Linked DNA regions of Schizosaccharomyces pombe. Each later gene encodes a partner of the first gene's protein in a complex. Each region holds a gene or a part of one and is shown in the gene's direction. Other genes may lie near its edges. The genes, in order: mrpl38, mrpl12, mrx14 and mrpl51.

Region 1 (6,944 bases):
CACTGGCTCGCCAAACTCAGAAAACACACATAAAATATCATCTTCGTTCAAATCAAAATCTAAGTTGCCGATGTAAATATATGCACTATCACTATAATCTTGGTGCCAAGAACTGCTAAAAGGTTTATCCAACTCTTGCTCGTTTAAACGCTCAATTTGACGAATGGAGCTACTTTTGTTAATTTTAAAATTAAAAAACGAAAACAGCGAAAAGATGAATCGGATTTTTGCTATATTTTAGCCTCAATAGAAAACTTACTTCATAACAACCTAAGGTATTTTAAATGGTAATTAAACTTTGTAACAGATTGATTTCCAAATTTTTCTTTTAAAATAAAAAAAAAGATTGACAAAAATTAACAGTTGGAGGGCAAAATGGAGAAAAACAAGTTAGCGGCGGGTTTATGGCGTAGGCTTGAATTCCGGGCTTTGTAAAAAAGAAGATAAAACACGAGAATGGGTTTGAATAAGAGGATGTCCAGCAACTCTACATAATAATGTATTAGTTTTTGTGCAATTTAAAACGCTCTTTGGGGCAATAAGGCAAAATTAACATTCAATACTTACAGTCGTAAAAAATTTTCCAAACCTTGTCTACGTTCTTCGATAACATCATCTCTAAATCTTTGAGTGAATATCTTTCCTGGAAGTGGTGGAATTGAAACACGACCGGACTCTCTTTCAAGCATATCGTGAAATTTCTCGAATTCGCTGTAACGTCGACGAACGCTAGAATTATGTAGACGAAAATAGGGCATATTGGTCTACAAAAATGAGTTAATAATCTGCTATCAGAAGATGAATTTCAGTGGTACCTACCCGACAAACAATTTCATAAGTAGTAAACATGTTTCTTCCAATACCGTGAGTTTGTGGATTTATAACCTAAAATAACATCTATTAGAAATATTTCGAAATAATAAAGTAAACATACATCAATTTCAAGGATGTTTTCAGGAACATCATACATTTGTTGAGTAGTTTGCTGCCTGATTTCCGGTCTACTTAATTTATCCATTTATTTACCCTTATTACTCTTAAGAGCGATATCCAATATTATTTTACTGTTTAACAAGTAATAGTTGAAATTTTGAAGAAGTTTAAAAGTTTCGATACAAGGTGTAGTGTCTAGCTCAGATACGGGTACGGCTAATGAGATTCATAATCGGATCGCAAATTAGTAAGGCGTTTACTGTAAACATATCGCAGAGCATTTTTTCAAACTGCGTCGTCTAAAGATGAGAATGATAGTTCATTTGCTTCCAAAAAATAAAATGGATTCACTAACGTCCAAATCCTCCTCTCACTTTCAACAAAATTAACGAGTAATACAAAATCAAATATGTAGCATACAATCCATTATGATATTTTAATATGATAAGAGCAATTGCTAGTCAATATCACATTTTTGCTTTAATGACTATTCCACAACTCCATGCATGATGAAGAATTTGATTAAAACATGTGTAACAAGCAAAACATCAGAAGGTTAAAGCAAGATAACAGGTTATGACAAACAATTTGCTTGGAATAATTTCATATTTGAATGCATCTAATCAAATCGCTTTTTTTTTAATACAAACAGTTGTTTTTATTTATATATTTTGCGATGTGTTACATACTACGATATGCCAACTAACGTCAAATACCAAATTCTAATATTACGCATAGTGTAATTTATAGTGGAAGCGAGTACGTGAATGTATGGTCAAGTACTTGAATCTTTAGCAATGATCGGACTTAAAGGTATACTCAAAGTTATCGACAATTCCGTAAGTTTAAAATATTACTATTTGTACTAATAAGATGGAAAAGGGTGCTACCTTAGCTGAGTGCATTCGTGTAGTTCGCGCGGGAAAATTCGCTTCACTTGGTAAGTAGCACGAAGTGATCTTTTGTTTATATTCGACTAACATCACCTTTTTTTAAAAAACAGGTGATGAAGTGGTAGTAGTGGTAAAAAAGGCACGAAGCGGTTCATCAGTTACTGCTGCTAATAAAGTTAAACGCGGTGATATCCACCATGCTATCATTGTTCGGACGAAATCACCAGTTCGAAGACCCGATGGTCGTTATGTTCGTTTTGATGATAATGCCTGCGTCTTGGTTAATAAGGAGTGTGAGCCTCTGGGAACCCGTATCTTGTCAGTCGTTGCCAACGAGCTCAGAACAAAACATCATACTAAAATAGCATCTCTTGCTCCACGAACCATCTGAAAAGGGTATTGTAATGTTAATATTTCACTTAATTAAAATATATTTTTTAATTTTCTATTCTACGTCTAATTAAGGGACCTTGTCTCTTCAGCAAACACTTTTTACCTGATAGCCAATTAAGATTTTGCTTTTTTGGAGTTTTGTTACTCGTAAGCATTGTGGGGTTAAAAGGTTTTTACTACACACTTTTTTAGTAAAATACAGCTGTAGCAGGCTTTATTATATAGTCCATTATCTGTTAAATATATCTGATCGATCAAAAGAATTTAATGTTCTAGTAAGAATGGATTTGCTGGCGATTGATTTGGATTTTGATGTTAGTGAGTCAAAGCTTGAACGGAATAAGCGATTAAAACAGAAAGTAAGCATTGAAACTGATGGATGGACTCCAAGAGTTCAATGTTTTGGTGTATGTTACTCATTTTTTACTCCCAATTTATTGTCTATGATTTTAACAGATTATTCAGCATCTTAGTAAAAATGGCGTCGTCCTCGGTGAAGAAGCCTATATTTTAGAGCAATCAAAATTTGCAGCGGAAGAACAATATTATCTGGGAAACTATTCCTTAGCTAAAAAGTTTGCATTTCAAGCACTTGATGTTCCAACTGATAGTTCCAGCATTGAGTACCACAGACTGAGTTCAGGCGAAATCAATGAAATTGAAGACATCATCAGAAGATGCGAAATGAAACTTGAAAATAAGCAAAGCAATTAATTAGAAAAAATTTTTGTCTTGTCAAAGAGTACCTACCCAAAACTACACACTCTGTCTAATTTTTGTACATGATTTTCATGTGGAAACAGATTAATCACTACTTGTACCATCATCCTTTACAATTTGTCCTTGGTTTTGTTATTTGAATAAGAAATAAATTAATCAAATTCAATCGTGCATCATTTTTTGTATCATTAAATTTATAGTCTTTGTAGGCTTTTGAGTTATCGAGTTACCAATTATTCCTCATCAATCTTCATTAAAAAATTCTTTAGCGCTGTAAACCTTCCACGTTCCCATCCGCGTCAGTAAAGTAATCGATTTTATTAGTACTATAGGCTGACGCCGGAATTGCAGCTGGTGACATGATTAGAGGAGATGTAATAGATTGAGCAGCCGAACCCAGAGCCGCTGACAACGGTGTTGCAGGTACGCGGGCTATTGGGGACATCAAAGGAACAGGAGTGGCTAAAGATGACTCAGTGTAATGTCGAGCAGAGGAAGAAAGTAAGATAGTAAGATCTTTTGTAGATCTTGTTGCAGCTGAAAGACCAGCTAATACGCTTTTTTGGAATGTATATTCACTGGATAACGCTTTCGCTAAATTTGCGACTGCAATAATAGACTTGACAAATGCTTGAGTGTCGTCCAAAAAAAGCTGCCATTCCAATTCTTCCGGATTCGTTTGAAAAGTTAGAAGGCGATGCTTAAGTTTTCTAGTAACATCACAGGCGGCGGCGGATAATGATCCCAATTCACGTAACTTACTAATCAAATTGGGTGCGATGTTTTCATTTACTAGATCAGGCTGGTTATTTTTAGGAACAGCATCAATTAGTAATGTCAAAACTGACATTGCACTGTTTGTTGCTAAAGCGACCTGATCTTGTATTTGTTTATCAATTTCAGGATTCATCACTGATGCTGGTTTTTCAACGCTAACGATTCTGTTCGTAAGCCCAGATGCAGTCCGGATCATACTTGTCGGAGATTGACGTACCTGATCGGCGAATATGTTATTACCACTATGGGGTTGTGATGGACTCAATGGTACCAAGGCGTTTTGTAACTCCTTTGCAGCATCGAAAAGAATTAGCAGTAAAAGCCGAACATATCGGACATCCGCACGACTAGTGAGCTCATTTAAAAATTTTTTTGTCACTTCAATTAGTTTACGAAACGAGCTGATACAAGACAATGAAGCGTTTACTATGGAATTAATGTTTGCAGTTCCATCATTGCTTTGTTGGGTATCCTCAAAGCACAGAATTAGCCGCTTAATTTGAACATTGGCAGTATGTAACACATGACGCATAGAATCTAAAACAACGGGGTTGCTGCAAAAAAGAAGTTGCTGACGAAGGGCTTGTTGGACTTGCGAAAGCGAAAACAATATGCCCCTAGACGACTCTAAAGTTTTTTCAAAGGCCGAGTGCTTCATTTCAACCTCACTCCCTCCAATGTTACTGAAGTAGCTGTTGACCGAGTCATTTGTCAAATTGGAGCCATTTTCATGCGTTTCTTCTTTTTTCAAACGAGGGGAAGGATGAGGATCTTGAGCAAAAATTCGATTTGGTAATTGCTCAGAAAGTTTGCGCGCTTCTTTAAGGGCTTCAAGACGATGTAAAACACTCGATGGAAGTCTAGTAGAAGAGTAATCATCATTTGTACTATTGCTTCTATTACGCTCTTTCTTGGCAACCTCAGGTAAACTTATGGCTGATGTTTTAGCACTCGCACTCAACTGCGTTGGAGCTGTTTTTAGAATCGATTGTGTGGAAGCAGCATCATTATTTGAGGGATTTTGATGTTGATCAGTGAATTCTGAAATTTGGTCTTGAATGGGGCTAGCGCCGTTAGTATTGTGAGTACGTTCTTGAACGTCTGCACTAGCGACGGAGGAATTGGTGAGTGAGCTTTGGGGTGAATGGTACAATGGTCCTGTAGCAGAAGAAGGTGGTTTTGAAACAGAAGGAGAATTGAGGCCAGTAGCTAAAGAAACTGACCTACGAGGACGGGCTTGTCTAGGCGACGCATCTAGATGAAATTTGTTTAATTGATTAAGTGATGGAGGATGAGTGCATCCATGAGCAACATTTGAATCATACAATGTTCCTTCTGAGTTCTCATTTGTCTTTGACAAAGTCGATTTGGGTGTGGACTGTTGATGCCCGGCAGGAGAATGTGAATGGGGACTTGGCGTGACAAACGTCAGCATGCCAGGTGAAACCGCATGGCTAGTATCTGATGGGGCACTAAATAAGTAAGAATCAACCACAGAGGAGTCATTTTCTTCCGAGTGACTAAGATTAGCTGAAGCGGATAAAGCAGCGGAAACAGTACTTTCACTTCGCGTTCTAAAGACTGATTCGTTTCGCGACAAATATCCCTTTATATTGGCAATAAACAACTGCATATCAGAATCTTGCAAGTCATTATTAGCGATATGCGGAGGAGGAAACACAATGTGATTGTTTTCAATTTTAAGAATTTCAAGATTCGGCATATGTGCAATGTAGGTGGGAAGCTCAAAAAGACGATTTTTAGAAATTGAAAGAACTTTAAGGTTCATTAAAGCTCCAAAGGATTCTGGCAGTTGCTTGATTTTATTGCGAGAAATGTCTAAAATTTCAAGTGACTCAAGTCGACACAAAGATTCGGGAAACTCTCTAAGGACATTCGATCTAATATTTAGGTACCGGAGACGAGTAAACTTTAGGATTTCAGGACCAATACTCTTTATAAAGTTATGGCCTAGCGCTAGTCTCGCTATCCGACCCTGGATTCTTTCCAATTGTTCATAAGGTAATTCCCGCAAGTTTAGATGAGATAGATCTAACGTAAGTGCATTTTCAGGACCCGCATCTTCTGCCTCTTTAATAATTCTTTCAATTTCTGAGTTTTTTGTGGAGGACACCTCATGAGCAGACATAGCATGAAAAGATCGATCACCTCAGACGTAAATCCGAAGGTTTTGTTGAAAAAAAAAGGAACTCTAAGAAGTAATAATTACTAAAAAAATGCAATGAACATAAAATTGATCCACAATGGTATGCTATAATGTACAAAAGTCAATTCCCCAAAATTTACTGCCAAGCTAGTTCGCGGAACGAATAAACTCACTTCTTTCTGTGTACGCATCTGTAGGTTGTACTTTTTTATTTTAACAACGTGAATAAGCACTTTTCCTTAAAATAATTACAGTTTATTAACGTTTACACAAAATATTTTCGTTAAGTTTGATATTGCGTTTTATTTTTTTTAGCTATGCAGTTCGTAATTATCATTAATGATATGTTAGACTACTTGATTTTCGTATGTGCACTACATAGCGGTACATATGGTTGTATGATAACGGGGGTTACGGATATCCTTGTATGAAGGCGGTAATGTAATTTATCTCTAAACAAACCACCACAGCTGAACTAAAGAACGTTGTTCCTTTGATTTTACATCTATCATTTCTAGCTAATAAATTAAAAAATTTATTAGTGGATCTACATCGTATTGTTATCATTTGTAAGACGATAGGTAATCAGAACATGTGACATATAGTAATTCGTAATTGTAATGTAGTATTGTTAGCATTCATTTCTAATTCTTGAATGATCAAAAGCACTCGCTATATTATGTTGGTTCGAACTTTTTGAGTTCATCGAGATCAGAAGTCGTTATTAACAGGAGCAACAAATGCTAACGCTACAGTATGTTTTGTGGTAAATAATTCTTTAAGTGTAAATTGATAACTTTTTGAATGAGTTGCAATTTTGTTGATTCAATATTTCTGTCATTTATCTATAGTTTGTTTATCAATTTGATTATCTTGGTGCGTTTGATTTCCTAATCATTAATATTTATTGTTTATTTTATTAGTCCTTAATATATTGCTTCCTAATAGAATCGCCTAGGTTTATCATTATGATTTAAGAACCTGATAAAAATAAATGAGTTGATAAATTGTACATATAATCAAACACGGTTTTTTTTTCTATGACTAAATGGGTTACTATC
Region 2 (8,468 bases), on another chromosome or scaffold:
TCTCTTACAACTATTTCGTTCAGAATTTTGGTCTATTCTCATTTTCTACCCTTCTTCTTTTCTTTTTTGCATCCTATTTATTCTATTAATTTGAAATGCCTCTAAAAAGTATGTCTTCTTACTTCCTTTGAATTTGTATAGTGTGCTAATTTAATTTACAAAAGATTATACAAAGACTACGTCTAAAAAAGAACCTAAACAATTAGATATTGCTGCTTCTGATCAACAAATTGAGCAGTGGAGTGATCAGATCCACAAATTAGATAAAGCGATTCGTTCTACAATCGATAACTCTCGACTCTTCTATGATGCTTGGAGATGCATGGTTTGTATAGCTCCCTCCGTCACTGCCTCTTGGATTTCTTTGTACAGACAGTTACCTCCTGAAAAACAACCTGCTGCTTCTGTCGGAACATTGGTCGATTGGAACAAGGCCTTGGAACGTCAACGTCGTGAAGTCTTGCTTGCCCTGCAAAATTTCCATGTCATAGTTATTGCTCCTTGCAAGGAGGTCAAAGGCTATGTAAAGAAGGCAGTTGAAATGATTAAAAGAAGAGATAAAAAAGTAAAAGAACTTGAAAAAATTCAAAAAGAATTATTGGTTGTTTACGAATTGCCTGATCCTGAAACCAAAAAAAGTAAAATTAAAGCATTACAAAGCCAGCTTGTCCGTGTCAATGGTGAATTGGATGACCTTCAGAAGCATTTAACTTTGTCCTTCCCAACTCTTATTGCAAAAAGTCGTGTTTTTTTTGGACAACTTATGAAGCATTTTTACTGCTTGCAACTTCAAATGTTTCGAAAAATGCACAACATTGTTCGCCCTTGGGATTGTTTTCAAGACGATATTCCCCAAACGTGGCTCGTTGAGTTTTCCTCAGTTTGCCAGGCTGCTGAAAGCATTTCCTTAATTGCCGTAAACAACAACCGTCCTCCCGTAGAACTTCCAAAATCTGGTGATGTTTTATCAAATAGAGAGTGGGAAGCTGGAAAAATTGATGCCATGAATTCTCTCATCGCTCAGAATTTGCATACTTCAGCGTCTCAGGTAAGCCTTTCGCCTATGGCTAGTACCGCTAGCTCTTCTGTTACAAATTCTCCCGTTGACACACATACTCCTTCAACTCCAATTATGTCGCGTCCTCCATCCATGAAAGCCCTTTCTTCTGGTGTAGAGTCCCAAGATGAATCGGTTGCTAGTAGTAATTTTCAAGTTCCAATTATATCGAATCCGCTTTTTAAATCCCCTGCACCTTATTCACCAACATCCGTTATCTCCAATCATTCCTCCACCGGTAAATCCCTGGTGATTTCTGAATGGGCATACCTTGCCTCAGGAAGTGCGAATGTGGTGTTTGAGTATGTTGGTAAAAATCCTTACTTTCAAGACAAGGTAATTCGTCTTCGACGTCGAGGACAGGTTTTTACTACAGAACAAGTTTATGAATACTATCAAAATGTAATTTATCCTTTGTTTGCTGGAATGGAAAGCTTTTTAATTGAGGTTTTTTTGCAGCCAGTTACTAGGGATTTTTTGCTGGCGGCCCAAAATGCTTCTGGTATTTATTTAAATTTAAATGAGCAATACTGTTTGGTAATGAAAGATCTCAAAGATGGAATTGAAATGAAACCAAAATGGTTGACTCAGTCCCCTGCCGCTCCACCTGACTGGGTTGTTTGTCGAACGTGTGCCCTTAGCCGTATGCGTGGTAGACCCGTTGGTTTTTGTCCTCTACAGCTTGATTTCAACAATTGGCCCAAGTTTTTGTGCTGTCTTCAAGGATTTGTGAGTCCTGATATCGCAATGAGATTGTTTCAGTCTGGTATACTACGGAAGCTTCGTGACCTACAAGAGCAATACTCTCGTACTGATGTTGCGTTAGCGATGACCCTTCGAGATGTGACTTTATACATTGGTAAAGATCACATAACATTACTAGATTTAGATCCTAAAGACATGAATACCAAAATGTCTAAATGGGAACGTGATGAAAGGAATTTGATTGAAGGCGGTTGGTACTATGGTCGTGGGATGAAGTCTACTGACAAAGCATGCCGGAGCAGCATAAAGTAATTATCTCATTGTTAATTTTTTTTCTAATATGTAATACCACCATCAATTTGTGGATTTATTGCAATATTTCAATACATTATGCATTTTTGTTTTATTTGTTATATGCCTGATAATTAACAGGGAGATAAAAGCATAAAAATAAAGGGTTAGATTTATTTGTTCTCTTCAACTAACTGTTGAACACTTAATAATTCTAGAGCATTTTTTACTACGAGGTTAGTTTATTTTCTAATTATTACTAATGAAAAATTAATAAGATCCATTGAACATATTTTAGATATTTGATGAATGATCACCTAAAAGTTGTAGTTACTATACTTAACTTGCCAACCCCCATCTCACTTGCACCTTACTTCACCTCAAGTATAATTTTAAAATACAGCATGTTTCGCATCGCATCACGCCAAACAAGAAATCTGTAAGATTGTAATTATTTTTAATTAACAAATTTATACTAACTTTAAAAGACGTGCTTTATCTTCCAGTAAGAACTGGGCAAGATCGTTGGTAAACACGCGATCATTTCGAGCTGCCGCATCTGTACAAAACAATAATGCCCAAATTGGGGAAATGGTTGACAAAATAAGCTCTCTATCATTGTTAGAGACGTCTGAACTTGTAAAGCAATTAAAGGAGAAGTTAAACATTGCTGAAATAGCTCCGATGGCAGCAGTGGCTCCAGCAGTAGCTTCAGCCGCTCCTTCTGAAGAGAAAGCTCCTGAGGAAAAGAAAGAGGAAAAAACCACCTGGAATTTGAAACTCGAATCGTTTGATGCTGGTTCGAAAGCCAAGGTGATCAAAGAGGTGAAGTCTCTTTTGGGATTATCTCTTGTGGACGCAAAGAAATTCGTTGAAAGTGCTCCAAAGGTTTTGAAAGAAAATATTTTGAAAGAGGATGCTGAAGCTATAAAATCGAAGTTAGAGAAACTTTCTTGTAAAGTAGTCCTCGAATAAACTGGGTTGTTTATAAAAAATTTCATTTCTATGCTTTTCCGCCATTCAAATTCTTTGGGCAACCTTTTTGTTATTGCTTTGACATTGTGACACGATTTACTTTCTTGGATTCCCATAAAAACTAAGCTACGGAGGGAAAATTCATCATCTCTAAAAAAACCAGATATTAGGTAATGTATAAAATACTCCAAAATTATTAGTTAATTATATGTTTTTATTCTATTTGGGTTACACTCTATGTTTTCGCTCTTCGGTTCAGGAAGTTGCATGAAGACATTCATTAAACTTTTCGTATTCATCCTTTAGGGATTCCAAATCGCTTTCAGTAATTCCTTGGGTAGTGTTCCATGCAATTTCCGCTTCTAACTCTGGTTCTGAAATAGCCCAAATGTTTTCACGCATTCTTTTGTGTCGCTCTCTGTCTTCTTCAATCCTCTTAAGAATGTCGTTTTTTGAAATGGCTCCTGAAGTACTGGTATCACCTGACTTGCTCGCTTGTTCATGGGCTTCTACCGTAGCCATAGCATCTTTATATTGATTATCATCGATTACCTTCTTTTCATGCAAAGACTGGAGTACTTTTCTAACCTCTGGAGCGTTAGCAGCTCCAGCAGCTCCTATAGGAGCTACGTTCTGGACTAGCTTACAGATATCTCTACTAATCATATTAAGATATCCACCTGTAAGGCCATTTTTTAAGCACATCTCACAGAGTGTGTCCACAAAGTACATGATATTCACTCTTGTATTGAACGAACCTGACTCTAGTTCCTCCCATATACATGAATATAAGTCTTCTTCCAAGTCTAGATGCTTAATTGCAAATTGCGCGGGTTTAATTTGAGAGAATTGCGATGCATTCAATTTTCCCAAAAGCTGTAGAAATGTCATGCGGCCCTCAAATGGATCCATTTTATTATTGCAAGTATATTGGTAATTGCGAGTGCAACAACGATTTTTGTTATGATGGTTTTTCTTATACTTCGTGAACTTTGAATTCCAAAAACATCAAGAATAATTTTTTAAATAATAATAATGTGTGTTGTCTTAAATTTCAAATATAGAATAAACTTCCTTTGCCAAGTGTTCATCTATTCTTGAAGCTGCAATCTCTGAAATTTGAGACTAAAAAAAGCGTTGGGATACTATTTTGCGAAAGGACGTTGAACCTTTCCAGATTCAAATAAATTAAAATATACTCAGTGCATAAGTAATATTAAGAGGTCTTCAAACTGTTAGCATGTTGCAAAATCTGTTGCTTTAAGTAGCATGTTACTTTATTTCAAACACTATTACTGTACCTTTAAAGAAACTAAAATCTCATTTTATTAAATACTACTTTTTTAGTAATTTCAACAGCGAAATAGTAAATTTTCAAAGATATTTTTATATAGCCCTGATAAAGTTATAACCATTCACCAAACTGTTAGGATCTCTGAGTATAAATAGCGGGAAAGAATAACTACTATACTTTAATAAAAGCACAAAAACCGACCTTACTTATATGGTAAAATGAAACCCATGAATCAGTAAACAATTTTTATTTTTTTATACGCTCTACTAAGTCGTACATACAAAATCAACATTTCCTTTCAATAAAGAACTGCTTTGAAATCTAAAATGGCCAGCGACAAACTTATAAGGTTTGCCTAAAAAGTAAATATAATGGAGAAAAATACTCTCGAAAAGAGAAAAAAAATGCAGGATGTATTGTTCAAGGAGAAAAATATAACAACGGGATAATGATATAATGGAAATACACCCGTCAAGTTGCAAGTAAAAGCGATCCTAAGCAGAATAAGCTTCTACAAACTCAACATAATCAGGACTTAACTCAACACCTGATCCTTGAGCCTCCTTGATAGCATTGCAAGCTTCCTTCAAGTAATTATCCTGACTAGCCTCGTCTTGAACAATTTGAGCCAGATCCATCTTTATATCCGCAAGTTTTAACAAGCGTTCAGGAGATTTATCCAGAGTATAAATAACATTCCAGGTATCGACAGAATTGTTGAGCCAGCTGGAAGCCTTGTTGATTAGGTCATCTACATTACTTTCACTGTTGTCGAGCAAATCCATATAATATTCCGCGAAGGTAGTATAATTATTTAGAACAGCCTCTTGAGCGATTAACTTATAATAGGCAGGAGTGTTGGGATCGACAACAGATTTTAACCACAATGCAGTTATAATTGAACAGACATCAAGGAGAAAAGCTTCAGAGAATTGATCACCGAATTGAAAGAGGTAGGAAGAGAGAATGTATAATGGGCGTAAAGAATCGGGGGTAAGAGCATCAAAATATTCAGTGGAATCCTGAGCAAGAGGACGAAGGTATTGGATGGCCTTCTCAATATATGGGTTTACCAACTGAGTGACCGGGATGTTGGCAAGAGATTCCTCGTTATCGTGACGCCAAACAAGAACACGTACCTTCTCAAGGTAAGCACGAGCAAGAGCAAGGAAAAGTCTCGATTCGTTGCCAGGAGCATCCAAGCCAAGTTGAGCTCTCTCGATTGCAGCATCTATGTAGGATTCTTCGGTATTGGTTTCCTTAAGACGCTTTTGTGCAATTTCGAAAAGCTCGGACACAGCCAAAAGAGCGGAGGAATAGGCCGCGTGAAAGTCCTTGGGTAATGTAGAAATGTCCTCGGTATTCCGTAATATTCTATCAGCCTCGTGAATGGTACCAAAGACAAGGCTCACACTAGCATCTATATCGTCATTTTCCAACTTTTCGCGACTCATCTCGTATAAACCCCAAAGTTGTGAAATATTGTCTTCCTCTGTGTAAACAAGCATTGTCTCATCCTCCATTTCTCCATTGTCGACATTTTCGCTTCCGTTTTCCTTACTAGGAGACGAGTTTCCTGACAGCTCATAAGAGGCTTCTTGCTTTTGTTTTTCAAGCTGCTGCTGCTTCTTTAAAGAAGCAGCAGCGCGTAGACCTTGAGGTCTTCTTCCAATCATAACGAACCGTTAAATTAACCTGTTTTGCTAAGGCAGCGTTGACATCGAGTGATTTTTTCTACCCAAAAATCGCGCGGGAAACTTGTTAGCAAGTTACAACGTAATGTGGTATTGTTGTTGCGTTGTCGGCCATGTGCGTTAAACCTAATAAGAGCATGGCGTAACAAAAACAATACCGTCGTTTTGTGGCTGTGGAAAACGAGTTACCAGAAGCTTGGAGAACTTGACATGTTAAAATGTATTAGTGGAAAGTATAGAGGCTCGTAATACAGTCGTACATATTGACTTGTTTACAAAAATTGATGATTTTAAATTGTGAAGGGGAAGCTTATTTTAAACATCTAATTATGCAGCAAGATACATTAACACGTTTTGGATTTTCATTGTTAAAAAAAAAGAGCAAAATTAAAAAGGAGATGGAAGAAAGTAAAGCTTTATGACTTCAGCGGATCTAGAGCAATTGAAGTAAACATATCTAGCCGAAATTTAACTTAGTAAATTGATTAAGATAGGTTTCTGTAAAGGAGATCTATGATATTCAAAATGCGGCAATATTTCTTAGGGCTTATGGCGCAAAAAGGTGCTATACAAAATTGCCAGCACGAGATAACATTGAAGATTTGGCAGTTTTGTAATGTAACGCTAATCTTTATTAAACAATAATATAATACGAAATCGCAACTTTTATGTGGTTTTGACCGTTTCTTTGGCAGGGAATTTGAATTCGTTTCTTAGTTTTTGAACGATATCTGATCAACGAGTTTGTTTATTTTAATTTTTTTAAACGGCTGCTTTATGGTAATGGACCAAGATTGCTCCAGCACCTTAAAAATACAGCACTAGTATATATATTTCGGTCGCCATATCAATAAATTACTTGATTCAGGTGCCGAAGTAATAAGTACTTAGGATGAATGTACTAGATGAAATTGAAAGTTTGTTAGCCAATTATAAAACAAAATAAAGCCTTTTTTACCATTTGATGACAGAATTTCTAATTTTTTTAATATTACTAAGTTATCTTGAACAATTAGTCATGTCCGAGGCTCGGACATAACAACATGCTAGTTTATAAAAGCACTACATTGTTTCACACAGTAAAAGAATACTCAGATATTCATTTACATTATTAACATCATGACCTTGCCTGAAAAATTACTGAAGATTACTCCCAAAATCCTGGTTATTATGGGAAGCGTTCGCAGCAAACGCTTATGTCCAACTATTGCAACGTGGGTTGGTGAGATGGGAAAAAGAGAGACTAATTTTGACTACGAAAAAGTTGATTTAACTGATTGGCCTCTATCTATGAGCGATGAACCCGGACTTCCAATTATGGGAATAGATGTGTACACTCAGGAACATACTAAGGCCTGGGGGTCCAAAATTGCTGGAGCAGATGGTTTTGTTTTTGTAACTCCGCAATACAATGGTGGATATCCTGCAATCCTTAAAAATGCCTTAGACCACTTGTATCACGAGTGGAATGGAAAACCGCTTTTGATTGTAAGCTATGGTGGCCATGGAGGAGGAGATTGTGCTTCGCAACTAAAACATGTTGCCGGTTTTCTTAAGATGCGAGTCGCGCCTACCATGCCAGCGCTCACGTTACCCAGAGATAAAATTGTTCAAGGTGTAGTCGACCCAGCGGTTGAATTTACAAAGCACCTTGGTGAACTTAAGAAAGCCTTCGGTGAGTTTTCTCAGTTGTTTGAAAGCAATCCTGAAAGGAAACCCTAGATAATTAAAACATAAGAGTATTTTGAAAGCTAGTATAGAGTGCATTTAATAAAGTCTGTTTTTTGTTTTTTTTTAAAAAGCCAATTTTCCAGTAAATCTGTTTGGTTTTAGATTTTATTCACATGGATAGATCTATTACTGTCATATCAACTTACCAATGGACTCTAATACCTTAATCCTTCCTGCTGTTCGTGTTGCCTAATGAAGGATTTTTAGCACGCATGTATTAGTAAACACGGTTCATATTCAGTCATTGTGTAATACGAATTTGTTCAGCAGTAAAAGTTCCCTTTAAAATTATATTTTAATACAATTTCAGTGAAGCTATTCGTGTTTTTCGTTTATAAGAAAAAGGACATAATTACTACTTGAAAAACTGCTTTGTTTTGACTGTTAACATGTCAAGAAAATATGTACACACATGTAGTCGTTATGAATAATATGCATTATAAGCATTATGATATGGTCTCGGGTAGTCAGGCCTCTGAACCTTATACCAGTCTACAATACTATCGGTTTTAGGTATACTTTGAAGGGATTTTAGTTTTCAAGACAACGGCTCAATACACGAGACTATGAAATATCTAAACAAATTAACTAGATTTGACTAGAGAAAATGTAGAATTTACTGCTAATTCTGCCAAATCTTTTGTGGTTCCCTATTTTCTTACATGGTGATACGATCTCTGGTTAGCGCAATCCTTTCTCTTGTCTCCCACATTCCTACTAT
Region 3 (8,032 bases), 250 kb from region 1:
TTATACGATGCCAAGTTTTGCAGTGCTTCGGTTTGGGATCTGGCAGGATCAGACTTACTAAGATCCATTGAAGAAGCGTCTATTGATGCGATTACACTCATTTTCTGTTTTTCAGCATTGTCCCCCGATCAATGGCAACAAGCTATAGAAAACTTGTATCGATTATTAAAGCCTGGAGGATTAATTTTATTTCGTGACTATGGTCGTTTAGATTTGACGCAGCTAAGAGCTAAAAAGAACAGAATTTTAAGTGAAAATTTTTACATAAGAGGTGATGGTACAAGAGTGTATTACATGACAAACGGTAAAGTCAACGAAAACTATTATTAGTCCTTAATGATTACTAACTTTGCAATAGAAGAACTAGTGGATGTTTTTGGAAAAAATTTCAAAATTATTCAAAATGGAGTTGACAAAAGGTAAATTTTCAAACGGCTTTGCGAATCTGAACTAATCTCCATACTAGGCTTATTGTAAACCGAAAAAAAAGAGTCAAGATGTACCGTTGCTGGCTACAAGCCAAGTTTCAAAAATGACAAATTACTCATTCTTAAGTAATTTTCCCAAAGCTCATGGACTCAGGAATTTGGAGGCTTATGTTCATTGCCTGCAATGAAGCCATATACAATCATTTATGATAAACGCATAGCTTTTTGTGACTTTTATAAAGGGATTCCCATTAATTTATAGAATATTCATATAACGGTATCATGACTTGACTGAAAGAGGGAAGCCGTGTACATTTTAAAAAGTGTAAAATAAACACGTAATTACTTTTTATAGTATACAATTTAAGTGATACTAATTTTGTGATTAGGAAAGCTGGTAATGTCATCCTTAACTGGCTTTGCTCTTGCAAAACTAAGCTTTTCTCGAGCATAAAGACCAAATTCTTTTATATTTTCAACACCAATTGTTCGCATTATCAAACAGGAAGCGAAGGTAAAGGTTGAAACAGTTAATACTGATGTAAATGAAAACAATTTCCAAGTAATCAAAGTTGGATGCACCATTTTCTCAACAACTGGGTTTGGAGAAAAAAAATTAGGCCGTTTTAATATTGTCCGTTGTAGAACCCATGTAGACCAAAGGAAAGTTGAGCTAGATATCGCAAAAATCGCGTCCACTGTAGCGACATTTGCTAATTTATCGAACGCCATACAGTAGAAGTTAGCCAACTTTATCAATTGGTACTTCCACAAATCTGGGAAAATAAGTATATAAATCACCAAAATAGGTTTAGCTAGCACGGTTCTTCTACAATTCACGTGTGGAGAAACAATTCAGAATGATTGAGTTCGAATTCTTTTACACACATAAAGAACTGCGGTATTGATAAATTGGGAGACTGAGCGAAATATTTGGAAAAGACATTTTGTTTCATAAAAAGGAAATTTAGGATAGCAGCTCAAAATTTACGATATTTTTGTTAAGTTGTAAAAGAATTGGATAGTATATGTAGGTGCATCCCAATAACTCCAAAATTTCCCGGGTGCACGATCTATTTCGTGAGCATCTGCGCAACAAAGTTAATATAAATAAAAAATCAGTAAAACCAACATACCAATTTTAAAGGCTATTGATTCGTATGGTTCAGCAGCCACTACCAGATACTGAAACTTTCGGTCAGGAGCTTCAACACGCTGTTCATAAGCACTCATAATTCTGTATCTTGGCTTAGCGTTCACTTCAATATCTGGATACTTTATTTGGAAACGTAGGCCAAATTTTCCGCTTTCGGCTTCTCTTATTTTGGACACTTTATAACCGGGTCGACCAATTTTTACGACACTTTTTTTAACCTGGACATGGGATTGAGAAATGCCCAACAACACTTGTGGTGCATTCTCTTGAGACTTTTTATTTTCGAGAGCCTGTCTCCTGGCTAAATTTGTCTGGTGTTTTTTACCTTGTGTATGGGTAAGGTAAGAGTTTTCATTCGCATGTGTAGTGAGGCAAAGACGACATTCAAAAGTGCCTAAATGATTTTTCATCAAATATGGATCCTATAAGAGATTAGCAATAGAAATATCATCGCAAAGAGTTTGAGGAGGAAGCTTCAAGGTGATTGACAGGGTAAAAAAAAGATGTCCAATTAGTGTAACATGCAAAACAGCAAACAAGGAAGTAGAAAGCAAATCCTTTTCATTTATTATTGTTGTTATTTTAGTTGTTATAGTTAGCGAATTTAACAGCAACTACTAATAAACTTCAATAATATGTAACATACGTACATGTCTTACTTTACACGATTAATTCATCGGTAATTATAATTGACATTCAGCACTCAAATTTTCAGAATTCAGTGGTTTTTAAACATACCTTTGATAAATCAATGGTTTCTAGCGCCAATTTACGAAGACGCTCTCTACGTGCAGCATTTGTTTCTTGATAGCCAGCAACGCCTCCTCCTCCAAAACGAACACCTGCGCGGTTTTGATAATCCATTTTTTAGTTCCTAGAAAATCCAACACTTATTTTTCTGTACTTTCACAATGACAATAAAGTCCCCTAAAAGACGGTGGCAGAGGCTGTACTTTCGTGAACCCCTATGTTTAAAGAAATATCGCAATGCAGAACAATACGCTAAATTCTCATCGTCGATGCCTTTTTTTTAACAAATATTTTAAATAGCAGATTAGAGCTCCTTTTCTCCATTTTATTATGTCACGTAAAAACAAAAAAAAATAATAACTTTTGATAAATTTAATGTATTGATGCTCCCATATATGAGTATATTTAATATGCTTTCAATATTTAAAAAGCCGGGACTGCAGCAATTTGCTTCCAATTTAAAATACTGGGTATTATTAATAAAATAAAATAGATAAAAGAAAGTATAAGATGTCATTTAACTGCTAAAACCTTTTTTGTACTATAAATTATCACTTTTAGCCCATGAATCGAATTCATTAAACTGATGGATTTTACTATTTGGTAATCTCATGCCAATTATTTGTTGGGAAAAAGCAAAAGCGATATCAAATTTTAGGGGTTCAGGTTGCTTTCTTTAAGGGCGTATAAAGAATGGTTAATGAACTATTTATTAATAATAATAGTATTATTATTATATTACCGACATTCCAGTGAATTGAATGAAACTATTAAAACGTAGTTATTGGATTTTAGCAAAGATTTTAATTTATTGTAACACAAATATTTGAAATTTAACACTTCGAATGTCAAACGGTGCTACACTGATTCACTTCAACCTTTCTAATAACCAGCTACTCCATCACATCTCAAATCTCTTCATTTTGCACATTTACGTTCATATATAATTTTTATATTATTTTTTGAAATTTTTTCTCTTGAAATCCAGTCACCTGCTTTCATTCCTATTGCTTTATGATGTTTATGCAACAATTTCGAAATTTGTTGCATCCTGCCATGAAGGGAGCCAGGAATATTTCAATATTAGCTGGAGGAGGAACTATGAGAGGGTTTCCGACAAGAAACCCTTTTAATACCGCTACTTTATACAGTTCTTTACCGACTATGAACATCTTCGGTCAAATGCAGCAAGTGCGTTGGAAAACGTATGGAAACGAGTATCAACCCTCAAATAGAAAGCGTAAAAGAAAACACGGATTTTTATCTCGAATTCGTTCTGTTAACGGTCGTCGTGTTTTACGAGATCGAAGACAAAAAGGGAGGATGTATCTGAGCCATTGAGTACATATTATCTTTTAATGGGCTCTAATTTGCATTAGTAACCTCTATCAATTCTTCATTTAAGTAATGCTTTCTAGTTTGTGATACATTTTCTTTCCATTGGTTCTTTGTTTAATTTTACTTGTTGAACTTTGAACTTTAATAACTTCTTTAAAACACGAGTTTATAAAATTTATTTTCCATGTCTGCGACTATATTTTTCATGAACAATTTTCCATCATTTATAAAATAAACCGTAATTTTTTTATATATTGGGTGCGATCATATCGGACTTAACCCACTTTTCTACCGTTTCTTTAGAGGTGCTTAAAAGCAAAAATTGTCTAGCTTCTAAAGCTATCCATAATTGAACCATTGGGTTTGTGAGTGAGACATTGGATTTCGATGAAGCAGAACGAAGATATGGTGTAGCATTACTTAATAGATCCATTTCTGGATATAGTTGGCGTCCAGCGCCTTCAACTAAAAGGATAGATAGCACAGTATTTGCGAAATTTGCTTCAATTCGAACATGATGCTCTCTCGCCATAGTCATTACTTCTTGTAATATAGTTCCTATTTGAAGTGATTTCAGTGAAAGCGTGCTCTTTTGAATTTCATTCAACAAATGTTCCATTTTAAGAGCAAATATGTCTTTGTTTATAACGCGTTCTGTCTGCCTGCTCCTTTCAACCATCAACAGTCCAGCCTCATAGCCATGGAAAGTAAGTACGGCTTGAAACAGATCCAAAAAATTTTTCTGATCCTGCGTACTAAGTTTCGTTACTAATCCAGCATCCAAAAATACTAAAGTCGGTCGATAGCCCAAGATGTTTAATTCTTCCATAGCAGAATCCCATTCCTCCGTCGAACATGTACTTAGAATTTTATAAATTGAGTCATTAATCTCATTATCTTGATTAAAGATTGTTTTAGGGATTCCTTTGTAAAATTTAACAAGGACATTACCCGGATGAAGATCAGCATGTGTAAAGTTGTCAACAATAAGCATTTGAAATAATGCATTATTTCCTGTGTTAGCTAACAACTTGTTAAATGGTCCTGACTTATGTTTGAGGAACGCGCTTAATGGGATACCCGGCATATAGTCTTCTAGTAGGATTTGATTAGTCGTGTAATCATCATAGGGAGCTGGAAATTCAACATATCTATTTCCTCTAAAGTTAAGACGGAACTGGTTGAGATGAAGCGCCTCATAATGTAAATTCAATTGCTGGTTTAACATTGCCCCAAATACCTTAACTTCGTCGGGCAGAGAAAGCCACTTCATTGAAGGTACCAAATTAATTAATTTTGCGAAGAAACCTAAGATTTGTAAGTCTAAAGAAATGTATTTTTCAACATTCGGGTGCAAAACTTTAATGGCTACATCTTGAGTCACTGGCGCATCAGAGATATTTTTCTGTCGAAACCCTATAGATTGTAGCATACTTGTAAAGTAGGAATTATCTTGCTGCGTAGCTGCTTTCTTGATGGTAGCCGTATAGACTTGAGCAATTGCTCCAACACCTATAGGTATTGGGTTAAAATTAACAAAAATTTCCTCGATAGATTCCACTTTATAAGTCTTGCAGATGACTGATTGAGTATAGGCAAGGCTGTGGGGCGTTACATGTGAATGTAATTTGGACAGTGTTTTACAGAAAGCAGGAGGAAACAAATCTGTCCGTGAAGCAGCCCATTGTCCCAACTGCAAAATAAAAAAATAATGTTAGTAACATGATAAGCGTAAATTCAAAACGTACCTTGATAAACGTTGCTCCTGCTCTTTCTAATTGAGTAACGAGGAAACGAAGCCAAATGGATACGGTTAAAGACGACAAAGATCGAAGATGCAGGAAAGAAATAAGAGCGATAAACGGTAAGGTAATAATAATTGGAGAGAAAATAATAAATAAATTAAATGACCTGAGGAGAATATTAAAAAATTGTTTTATTTTTCCAAAAATAGAACGAGGTCGATTGCTTCTCTCTTCTAATTCAAGTTCGTCAAAGGAGAAAATATTATTCTTTCGATTTTTGACTCTGTATAAAATCCATAATCCTCCGACCGTAAAAGGGAGGACAAGAAATGTAATCCTTAGTATCCTCCATTGCTTCTGGTCTTCACTTTTTTGTCGGGTTGTAAACTTTCTTGCAAATATAGGTTTGGGGAATAAAGATATATGCTTCAATCGATTAACCAGTACGTGCTTTTTTTTGTATGGTGACCAAACTGACTGTGTCCCGCATAACCTTTTCCATCTTGTGTTCTGCGAGTTAACGACAGGAATATAATTTCTTTGAATAATGAAAGCAAAACGAGAGTTTGCAGAAGGAATCATGCTTAGACTAAGTCCCGAACGTATGTGAGAATTCCAGTGAGAAAAACTAATCATGTTCACCAATTATTGACTTTCAGAAGAGCATTTCCTTATCAAGAATCAAAAAAATAAATAAACTAATTACAATGGGTATTTTCGATTGAAAACACTGGCAAACCTGATAAAGAAAATAGGAATTGTTCAATAAATGTGTATAGCAGCTACTAAAAGAGGTGTTTCAAAGAATTTAGGAAACCCTGTCAACCTTTAATATCTTGAAAATAAAGAATGCACCAGTTCAAAAATATTGCTCAAATTTACGTGTCACTAGTGTCTATTGGTGTCAACGTCGAATGACGCTGTCTACTTGTGACTGGGAGAAAGAAAAATAATAATTGTTAGCCAAAATGAAGACTGTAATAATAATCAATTCTTTCATTTTATAAATAAAATATTGACTAATTAATGCTCAGTTCCTATTTGGATTCTATAGAATTGAACTTACAGTATGATAAACTGGATATGATCATCTAGTACGTGAAGAAACATTTTTTTATTCATTATTACCAATAAAATGTAATTTATCAAAATTTCAAAGTTCTAATTGAAGGGAAGATTATTAAAATATAAAAAATGACTGATTATAGGAATCACATTTTTTTTCCTTATACACCTATAATCGGTAATATTCAAATAAGTTAAATAATCAGTTCATGGTAGTATTCTGCTGCCAAAGAGAGATAATTGTAAAATCGCTAGCAGTTGATAAAATAAAGTATAAATTGAAATTAAAATGGAATTGTTTGTACTGAATTAAAAAGCTTTACCATCATTACTTCAATTGCCGTTAACTCAGAGACTAGCATAGAGTTTATCTATAGAGACTCTTTGATTGATTTAATAAAAAGCCTTTGATCGACGATGGTTCATTCGCCAAGTTTCATTGATGAGTAACAGTTGACTGAGAATATTTCACCTAACCCATTCTTGATAAAAGTATAAATTGGAAGTGCTAATTTAGAACAAATTATTAAGTTCTTGGCTCAAAATTTTGAGATGTCCCTACAGGATGTGTAAAAGTTGAGTATGAATATTATTACTGATGCCCAGCTATCAAATGTCATCCTCTCCCCAACACTACCAATTCATTCGAAAACATACATATTGAATGAAAACACACGAAAATCAACGATACTGTTTTTTAGATTCTGACATTTGTAAATTACGAGAGGGTATTTTGAACGAAGTTGAAGAATTAATTCAGGATGACCGAAAATTTGCAGTCGGAATCAATTCCCCATGAAATACTCCCTAAGGAGCCTTTTGATTTACCAATGAACAACTTAAAAAGCTCTCCTAAAAATAAAGATTCAGAGAAACGAATAAATAATTCGATCGCTGAAAGTGAGCAGGTTGTTGATTCGGCTCTATCTAATCCAGAGACCAATGCTAATGAGGATATTATCGCACCTCAATTGCCTTCTCAAAATTCTGAAATCATTGAAAAAAACTCGCCAGTGAACAAACTGAACAGTTCCACGTCCCTCACAACTCATCAGTTAGCGTCACTTCCTAAATTAGAGGTAACAGATCATGATAATGTATCTGAGGCAGAAACTGTAGTCTTAAATGAAGATGAAGAGAAAGAAACATCTTTAGTTGGTTCGGTATCAGTCACTGAGGACTTAGGTGACTCAAGTGCAATTGGCAGAACCATACTGGTAAACAACTCTGTGGAACCTCAGATGGAAAACACAGCAAATATAACCATTGTTAGTCCTTCATTGAAGGAATCTGACTTTGAGTCTGAAGAAAAAGCTACCAATGACAACAATGGACTCATAGAGACTAACCACAACTCGAAACTTGAGGAGTCTTCTGAGCATGAGGAGGAAGAAGACGAAGAGTCGAATATTGAAAGAACCGAAGATTCTGACCACCAGATACCACAAAGAGGTGGAACTTTAGAAGCACCCAGAAAAGGTGGTCCTCGAAGTGGCGTTGGAAGTCGAAAGCGTAAACGTGCAACAGTTTCTCGAAAATGGTCTACTAAC
Region 4 (7,700 bases), 1.9 Mb from region 1:
TCAGTGTAATGTATCCCCTTCACCTTCCAACATTTCTGATGCTCCCCCGAGCAAGCTTAATCGTAGTTATTCATCTCCACTTGCTTCCATTTCATCCAGAAAGGTAGTACGAATGAAATATTCATTTGAGCCAGAAACAGAAAATGAGTTAAAACTAAAAAAGGGAGATCTTCTTTTAGTTTTAAAAGAAATTGATGAAGGTTGGTGGGTTGGGGAGAAACTGGGTGAAGATGGGGTTTTTACTGGAAATACCGGAATGTTTCCTTCAAATTATTGTGTTCCAGCCCATCCATGGGACAAAACATTTCGGGCATTTTTGAAAAAGGGCTTTAAGTAGTCCCATTTATTCCGAGTACTATTGCTGCTACTTTCCGTCCAATTTTAATGGCTGTTGTGTCTACAATCATTCTTTTTTATTTCATTTTAAATGATTTTTTGAAGCTCCTTTCTTTTGCATTATTTCATTTTTTTAGCATAATACCGACTGATTTTTATGCATCACGTTACCCGGTACTCTTCATTTTTTATTTCGACTGTCGATATACTTGTCTGTATGACATTAAAATTGAGTGATCTTAACCTTAAAAGTTAGTTTAAACAGACTTGTTAATCATGTTAGCACCTATGCTTTAATATAATTAAGATTTATCTCGAACTTTTGTTTCCGTAAATTTCATACTTTTAAATAAGATGGAAAGAGTATGAACAGTATTATTTTAAAAGTGGATATAAAAATGTATTCATGAATATCATAATGTCAAAGATATCCTTTAATCTTTTAAGTTTTCTTTGTTATATATTGATTACAGGTAAATTTGAAGATTACATCTTAAATATGGAAATTTTCTAGTAACCGTTTTAAACGGGATAATGAGATTTAACTTACATCTCAGGACTTTTCTAGTTGAGCATTTAAATGCTTATTTAATTATTAAAAAAAAATTCCAACGCCTCAAATTATGGTAATCGTGATTATTTCATTAAAATGGAGAACATAAAATTAACACCAAGATATCCAGGTAAGAAAAAAGCATACTAATGTTTTAAATAAAAAGGGTAACAACTGACACGGAAAAGGAAATAACACCAAATGTTGAGGAGTAAAAAGAAATTCAGAGAACTAACCCTATCGTTAAAAAAAAAAATTATTTTCACTGAATAAACCATGAGATATGCTTGAAGAGTAGCAGGTTAACAAAAAAAAAGAGAAAGTTATTCACAGAAATTAACTTAAAAAGAACCTTTGGCAGCCATGAGACGTTGCAACATTAGCAACTTAAAGGCACTGTACTGAAGGCCAGATACTTTTCCGTTATCAACCTCGGACGGAATCTTTTGCTGCAGGTTTTCCAACCAGTTGTTAGTGATGGTATAATTCCTTTTAAGTTTATTAATGTTGGTAATAATCTTTGTAGGAGTATCAGGTATGGAATCAAACGCAGATTCAGTAAGGTCAACGTTTTTAGAACCAACAAAAGTTTCGGAAGAGGAAGCAGACTTGTTTGATGCTTCATGAATTTTAATTACATGTCTTTTCTTGACACGTTCTCGGCGGCGGAATTGTGAGGTACCATGACTACGACCAAAAATGGATGGCCTAGCCGTGGTGTCATTTGAACCAAGATAGTCTGATGCGGAATATTGGGTTGCAGGGGAAGATACAGCAGAAATATCATCAGATTGAGTAGTCAATTGCTGTATAATCGTATCGGGAGGAGTTGACCGGTATATGGACATAGGTATTGAAGGAGAAGAAATAGGAAGTAGTGCTTTTCTGGATAAGGCTAAAGAAGCAATAGATCGAATGTTAGGATGCGTTTGGACATCCAATGGGCCCATTTTAATTGGGAGATGAGTGTCGACTTTCGTAGATTCATGATAGTCGGGAGGACCATCTAGCAAATCTGGGTTATAATTAGCCAGAGAAGTATGAGATTGGTTAGGAGAAGTGAAAGGAATTTTTTGAAAAGATAGATTAGAGTCGGACTTGGCAAACCAAATTCTTGACATTTTGTATATGATGGAAGGAAGTTCTTCCTGAAACAGGGAGACCAGTTGCACCTCGATTTCTCTTTGTAAAAAGCGAGCAATAGCAGGAATAGAATCAAAGGAGGAAGATACACGCACGGATTCTAAAGGATCGTTTCGAAATACCACAGTGATACCTTTCTGCTTTGAAAACACCAAAACAACTATTCCGTTAAGCTTTAAGTCGGAAAGTCGTAAAAACATAGGCACAGTAAGCGGTGCACGAGATGCTAACATTGTATTACGAGAACTAAAACTGGGAACATTACTTTTTTGCACCGATAATGGATTGGCACGAATTTTTGTTTGCAAGACCAAAGAAGCATCACCCGAATAATGGAGATTAAAGAGGCCCTGAAAGCGGTCTGGCGCTAAGTCGCCAACCTCTAAAATTTCCAGTTGAGGAGGTTGGGGACCCAAATCCAACTCTTTTACAGTGATGTGGTCTGCAATCATCGAGTGTTTAGTGCCTTTGTTTAAAGCAGCCGTAAGCAAAGTGGTTGCTCGCTCATAGAATGACTCAGAGAACTGATCACTCCATCCCTTTACACGAAACGACATTCTGTTGATTTTCCTAAGTTATCTACATCAACTATGAAAAATGTCAAATTTTTTTGTAAGGAACCGTCTAGTATAGACTAAGTAACTAACGCTTTAGATCAATTTCTTTACAAAATTTTTATTAAATTCGGATAGGGAAACGACAACTTCCATACAGTGGCGGACAGTAAATAAACATCGATAGGCTGGCTGATGCACTAGTGCGGCATACTGAACCTTGATATAGCCAAGATAAGGATAGGGTCGATCGTACTGTATATGAACGAAGGTGTATTAGAATGCATTAAATAAATTATTACAAAATGCACAGTAGTTTCTTATGCTATACTGGTGAAATATATTTTCTTGCTATTCTGTTCATTTAGGAGGGATAAATAAAGCTTCATGAAATGAAATTCCTTAGATATTCAAATCAGAAATTCAGCCATTATTTTAGAAATGATATTAGTGGTGTTGCTTACTGTATTAATTTGCTATGTTGACAAATATCTAGGCTGAAGAACTTCGAGTACAAGAACCGATACAACTTTGCTCTTTCAGAAAAGGATATCTCTGCATAAATGAATGATATTAAATCAAAATTGTTCGTTTTAAAAAACCTATATTATGTTTGTTCGCAGTCCATGTACTACGTTAAAAAATCACTGTAAACTTTCTAGATATCATTATTTAGAGAAGAGCAGAAAGGTAAAGTATTGCAAAGTGTGTAACCAGAAACTGTAGGTAGACAGTAAACTTGATTTTGTTGCTAAAATTTTTTATAAAACTAATTGCATACTAAGTTTAACATTCTAAATCAATTGGAACAAGTATTGAAGTTTAGAGCAATTTGGGATTTGCGAATTTCCACACACCCCTTTACGTCTCCATACCGACTTTTCATTATTTCTGCAAGGATTTGCTCACCCAACTTTTTTCAATATAGCATATTAAGAATTCTGGTTTTTAAAAGACGGTATCCCCTTTTTTACGGCCTTTTACTCACTTAATGATGATTGAAATCATTCCTAAAATTTCAATTCCCAAAAATGGACTAGGTTCATTTACCCGCCCAGTAAGATTTAATCAGCTTTCTTTTTTTTTAAAAAAAAAAAAAAAAAAAAGATTGGCCTTCATTAACTTCGTATTACTAATTTTCTTTTTAGTGCCGTCGAATTGAGTTTTCGTATTGTAATTGGGGTGGAAGCTCAAAAGGCATGAAAGAATTTTTATCCACAAAGCTTGAGTCTTTGGCCAAAGAATCTCAAGATGTGGAATTTCATGTTACAAACCGCCAAGGCAAGCATCCATTAATCCGAGCTTATTACAGTACGTCCAAGACTTTTCTCTTATTATGGTGATCCTCTTAGTTTTATAAATATGAACTCCTTAAAATAGTGTTTTTTACTAATGCTACGATAATAGATACTGGTCGAGAGAAGGTCATTTGTACAAGGAAAATGTCAGCGTCTTCAATATTTCAAAAAGCAATTCTATGCAGAGATAGTGATGGTTTGAAACCTCGCCTCATAAAATATCCTGTTGAGTCAACAAACCCATCCGTTCGTGGTATTTGGAGTCCATTTTCCGATCAAGCAAAGCCCCATGAAATTTATAAGAAAAAGTCCCCTTAGATTCCTCTACAAACTACTTATTATTTCATACAAAAAAAAGAAAATTCAATTTAATCATTTTCGTTATGTTATTATGTCTAACCTTTTTGTCCGAAATACAAAACCCTATCCAAATTTATCTTCCCATAAATACTCTAGTTAACCAGGTAGTAAGTGTACAGATGTATCAAATCCCTTCTTTTTCAATATCAGGAATATGCAACGTCCCTTTTAAGCTTTTTAAAGAAACAGAACAGCCATAGCAAACATTTTGATTCTTAATACCTTCAACGGAATCCGGATGTTCAACCGTAGTTTTTTGTAACCAAGTCTCAGCATCTTCTTGCATTGGTAGATTACAGATGGTACATATGGCTTCTGTAGAAGGCACATGCAATTTTGAGCTCATTTTGACAACGGTGCTAACCAGACTTGGGAATGTATCATTCAGCGATGAGAAATATGATTCTGTAACGCCATGAATAGTATTAGGACGTGCTTCAATTAAGCTATCGCAGAAAGCTAATCCCTTAATGTTCATATACGACTTGAGGTCTGAAGACAAAACTTCACGTAGGGGACGTAGTAGGAAAGTATCGCAATTTGGAAGCTTAGAGCAGACAGAAGTGTACCATGGTATCGCAAAACCTCGACCCTCTGCCACAAGTTCAAGAACTCTTGCAGCAATTGTAGTACCGCTATCACCAAAAACAATGGTATCACAATTTGCCTTCCGGGCATAGGATACTAAAAGCTTATCCCGAATTCGGTAAAGTAAATCTTGACGCGAGGCTAACGAACTAATGACTTCTGGATTAAATTTCTCATTATCTGCGTTTATTTCTATATTTCCTCGTGAGTCTGTAGCAATGGTACGGTTCAATAACTCAGCTTCACCAATAACTTTGAATGGACATTTAGGATAATTTTTGGAAATACTTTCCTCAATCGTTTTTGCAACAGCTGAATCCGTTCCCCACTGAAAATGAACTGCAAGCAATTCATCAAACATAGGCCGGTAATTATCATCTCGATATTTTGATAAATAATTGGCTGTTTCAAGCATTGCCATTGAAGATATACCACCGGAAATAGCCAGCATTGCTCTTTTAGATTTGCGTCCTTGTAAATTGGGTCGTACAAGCTCAAATTGCCGACGAATTTTGTTCTCAATTCTTCTGACAAAGCATGAATCGCAGACCGCATCTGATTTAGTCAGAACTGTTGCCTTATTATCGCATTTGGAACATTTTGAGTCGGCTGAATTGTCTAGAGCCGTGTTCTGCATTTTTTTAGATTTTTCTATTGTTTTTCGAAATGAAGGTCCACAAAGTACTTTCAAAAAAATTATCCGTATAAATAAATAAGTTTAAGAGATACCTATTCTTCTTTCAATTCCAATTTTATGGAAAAAGAATAGTTGGTGGTGCGCAAACCAACTAAACACTGGAATTTTTCATAGTGCCAGCTACTCACACAGTACACCACCATCGACCATGTCTCTGTGTATTAAGTTGCTTCATGAGACCCAAGGTACGATTTTTTACCCAATTTTTTTTTAGTAAAACTAATTTTTAGGCCATATCGTTACGATGGAGTTGGAAAATGGGTCTACGTATCGTGGAAAGTTAATTGAAGGTATATTCATTTTAAAACGATTTCTATTTTGTTATGGTTTACTTACACTAATTAGCGGAAGATAATATGAATTGTCAAATGAGAGATATCAGTGTAACTGCTCGAGATGGTCGTGTTTCTCATTTGGATCAAGTTTACATTCGTGGTTCACACATTCGTTTTCTCATCGTTCCTGATATGCTTAGGTAAGAATTTTTAAGTGGTTGGTTTAATCATAATTTTAACGTTTTTAAACAAGGAATGCTCCTATGTTCAAAGTTGGCCCTGGCAGAAGTGTTCCTTTACCTACACGTGGACGACGATAAAAGAACCGTATGAAAAAGGATAATAGATTTGGTGATTTAAGTAATGAAAAATTCATTTCTACTGTTGCTTTAAAGTTGAAAAACGTAATGATTTTTTAAATATTCAATAAATTAATGGACGCACGTGTTTCTACATTGCATTGTAAGTAGTAAGAGATATTGTGAATAAGCTCTTTTTACATCTTTTCGAAGTACGTTTATGTAGCTGCTGTTTATCGGAGTGATACCTTCGACTTATCTATAGTGACAAATGCTATTACCACTATTTTGTGTTGTTAAAATACATATTTACAACATAAATCTTTATATGCTATACGAATGCAAAAGTTAAGTAAAAAATTGAATAATATGTAATATCCGATACTACAGAATAATAAACCTAACTTATTTTAGCTTAGAAAAAAAAATTAGGTTCTTCTGGCAGCAGCCCGCTTGGAAATCTTTCGACGTTGAGCAAGCATATGTGTATACATAATGTAAAGACCTAGAAAGTTAATAAAGATTTTGGAAGAAAAGCTGGGTTTCACTCAACTTACCAGGTGGATAAATAGACATCAAGATGGGCCAAAGCAGCTTGTTCAAACTCCAGACGTACTGAGCAGCAATCCTACTTTTCAATACTAAAAGAAATTCACTTCCAGCACCGATGGGATAGAGGATTAGGAAGGTATTATAGCGAAGCCATGTTAAGAAAGCAGGGATGTCGCCGTTCAGGTTGAATGCATAAAATGCATAACGAATTATTTCGGTAATGGACCAAGCGATGATCATACTTAAGTATATAGGAGATCCCTCAATAACATATGAAAATGGATAGCACACACCCCAAACAAGGTAAAGTCGAGATGCAACTTGAATGATTGTTGTTAAAGGAGAAGAAGATACTAGTCCAAATATACTGTGGAATACTTCAGCTATTGCCAGAGTTTGTACCCAGCGAACTAAAGTATTTGTTTCATGAAAAACTACGGCTGTATCTTTGGTTATTCCCCATATCAATCCTGTACGAAGCAAAACGCTCATCCAAAGAAAGCAGGAGATAACATTGTATAGTTTTAAATATTGTATTTTTACTATTTTTAACTTTGTTAATAACTGAGATCTATAAAAAATCGAGTCTTACAAATTTTCGACATTTTTGTTGGGATTGTAGTTGGAACAATACGATTTTCAAACGTTTCACTACGCGGCCTCACTTGTATGAGACCATTGTTGGCCAATATTGTTTGTTGCGTTCTGGGGGATGGATAAATTCTTTCTATCAAAAGAATGTATACAAACACTTTACAAACAACTTTTAAAATTCGGATTTGGCTAACATCGTTATGTATTAATGAAAATATCAAATTCGCACAGAATCATAAATTGATCAAAAATAATATCAATCAGATTATTAAAAAATTAAGGTAAATTACATATTCTATAACTAATTGGGTTATCTGACTCGATTGATGATACGTGTCTTTATTTACATTATCAAGTCAAAAAAAATTTACAAACCCCGGGTATTAAATTAGTAATCTGAACCAGTTTAAAATTAGAAATTTATAATTATTTGAAAACATTTTTCTGCTAT

The links.
Region 2: mrpl38 (region 1) and mrpl12 share a complex: the UniProt entries of both Schizosaccharomyces pombe proteins name them as parts of the mitochondrial large ribosomal subunit.
Region 3: mrpl38 (region 1) and mrx14 share a complex: the UniProt entries of both Schizosaccharomyces pombe proteins name them as parts of the mitochondrial large ribosomal subunit.
Region 4: mrpl38 (region 1) and mrpl51 share a complex: the UniProt entries of both Schizosaccharomyces pombe proteins name them as parts of the mitochondrial large ribosomal subunit.

What each region holds. Positions count from the first base shown.
Region 1 is NC_003423.3:3,549,618-3,556,561, forward strand, and holds mrpl38 (putative mitochondrial ribosomal protein subunit L38), read left to right. Parts: upstream 1-1,726; 5' UTR 1,727-1,730; coding exon 1,731-1,772; intron 1,773-1,815; coding exon 1,816-1,873; intron 1,874-1,936; coding exon 1,937-2,217; 3' UTR 2,218-2,274; downstream 2,275-6,944. Other genes in the region: RNA-binding protein Cwf29, read right to left, coding at 1-169, 260-264; sorting nexin Snx3, read right to left, coding at 403-487, 568-764, 820-885, 935-1,018; SPOM_SPBC887.08 (uncharacterized protein), read left to right, coding at 2,501-2,626, 2,685-2,933; leucine-rich repeat protein Sog2, read right to left, coding at 3,205-5,865. UniProt on the Schizosaccharomyces pombe protein: Component of the mitochondrial ribosome (mitoribosome), a dedicated translation machinery responsible for the synthesis of mitochondrial genome-encoded proteins, including at least some of the essential transmembrane subunits of the mitochondrial respiratory chain.
Region 2 is NC_003421.2:1,158,053-1,166,520, forward strand, and holds mrpl12 (mitochondrial 54S ribosomal protein bL12m), read left to right. Parts: upstream 1-2,403; 5' UTR 2,404-2,457; coding exon 2,458-2,492; intron 2,493-2,541; coding exon 2,542-3,028; 3' UTR 3,029-3,283; coding exon of another isoform or gene 3,284-3,940; 3' UTR 3,941-4,264; downstream 4,265-8,468. Other genes in the region: ipk1 (inositol 1,3,4,5,6-pentakisphosphate (IP5) kinase), read left to right, coding at 96-108, 165-2,074; Lsk1 complex gamma subunit lsg1, read right to left, coding at 3,284-3,940; protein Nro1, read right to left, coding at 4,817-5,998; SPOM_SPCC4B3.06C (NADPH-dependent FMN reductase), read left to right, coding at 7,136-7,738. UniProt on the Schizosaccharomyces pombe protein: Component of the mitochondrial ribosome (mitoribosome), a dedicated translation machinery responsible for the synthesis of mitochondrial genome-encoded proteins, including at least some of the essential transmembrane subunits of the mitochondrial respiratory chain.
Region 3 is NC_003423.3:3,800,218-3,808,249, reverse strand, and holds mrx14 (mitochondrial 54S ribosomal protein bL34m), read left to right. Parts: upstream 1-3,221; 5' UTR 3,222-3,348; coding exon 3,349-3,675; 3' UTR 3,676-3,919; downstream 3,920-8,032. Other genes in the region: trm140 (tRNA (cytosine) methyltransferase), read left to right, coding at 1-304, 359-419, 467-536; SPOM_SPBC21C3.06 (uncharacterized protein), read right to left, coding at 792-1,160; U2 snRNP-associated protein Sap62, read right to left, coding at 1,416-1,501, 1,565-2,006, 2,323-2,448; cqd1 (ABC1 kinase family protein ), read right to left, coding at 3,920-5,365, 5,421-6,053; Rpd3L histone deacetylase complex subunit, Sds3-like family protein Dep1, read left to right, coding at 7,244-8,032. UniProt on the Schizosaccharomyces pombe protein: Component of the mitochondrial ribosome (mitoribosome), a dedicated translation machinery responsible for the synthesis of mitochondrial genome-encoded proteins, including at least some of the essential transmembrane subunits of the mitochondrial respiratory chain.
Region 4 is NC_003423.3:1,696,505-1,704,204, forward strand, and holds mrpl51 (mitochondrial 54S ribosomal protein mL43), read left to right. Parts: upstream 1-3,428; 5' UTR 3,429-3,577; coding exon 3,578-3,643; exon of another isoform or gene 3,644-3,734; coding exon 3,735-3,897; exon of another isoform or gene 3,898-3,993; coding exon 3,994-4,202; 3' UTR 4,203-4,368; downstream 4,369-7,700. Other genes in the region: SPOM_SPBC19C2.10 (BAR adaptor protein ), read left to right, coding at 1-337; protein Mdm34, read right to left, coding at 1,231-2,589; cytosolic thiouridylase subunit Ctu2, read right to left, coding at 4,369-5,469; Sm snRNP core protein Smd3, read left to right, coding at 5,678-5,714, 5,760-5,819, 5,875-6,004, 6,058-6,124; phosphoprotein phosphatase Phs1, read right to left, coding at 6,532-6,608, 6,661-7,197, 7,248-7,260. UniProt on the Schizosaccharomyces pombe protein: Component of the mitochondrial ribosome (mitoribosome), a dedicated translation machinery responsible for the synthesis of mitochondrial genome-encoded proteins, including at least some of the essential transmembrane subunits of the mitochondrial respiratory chain.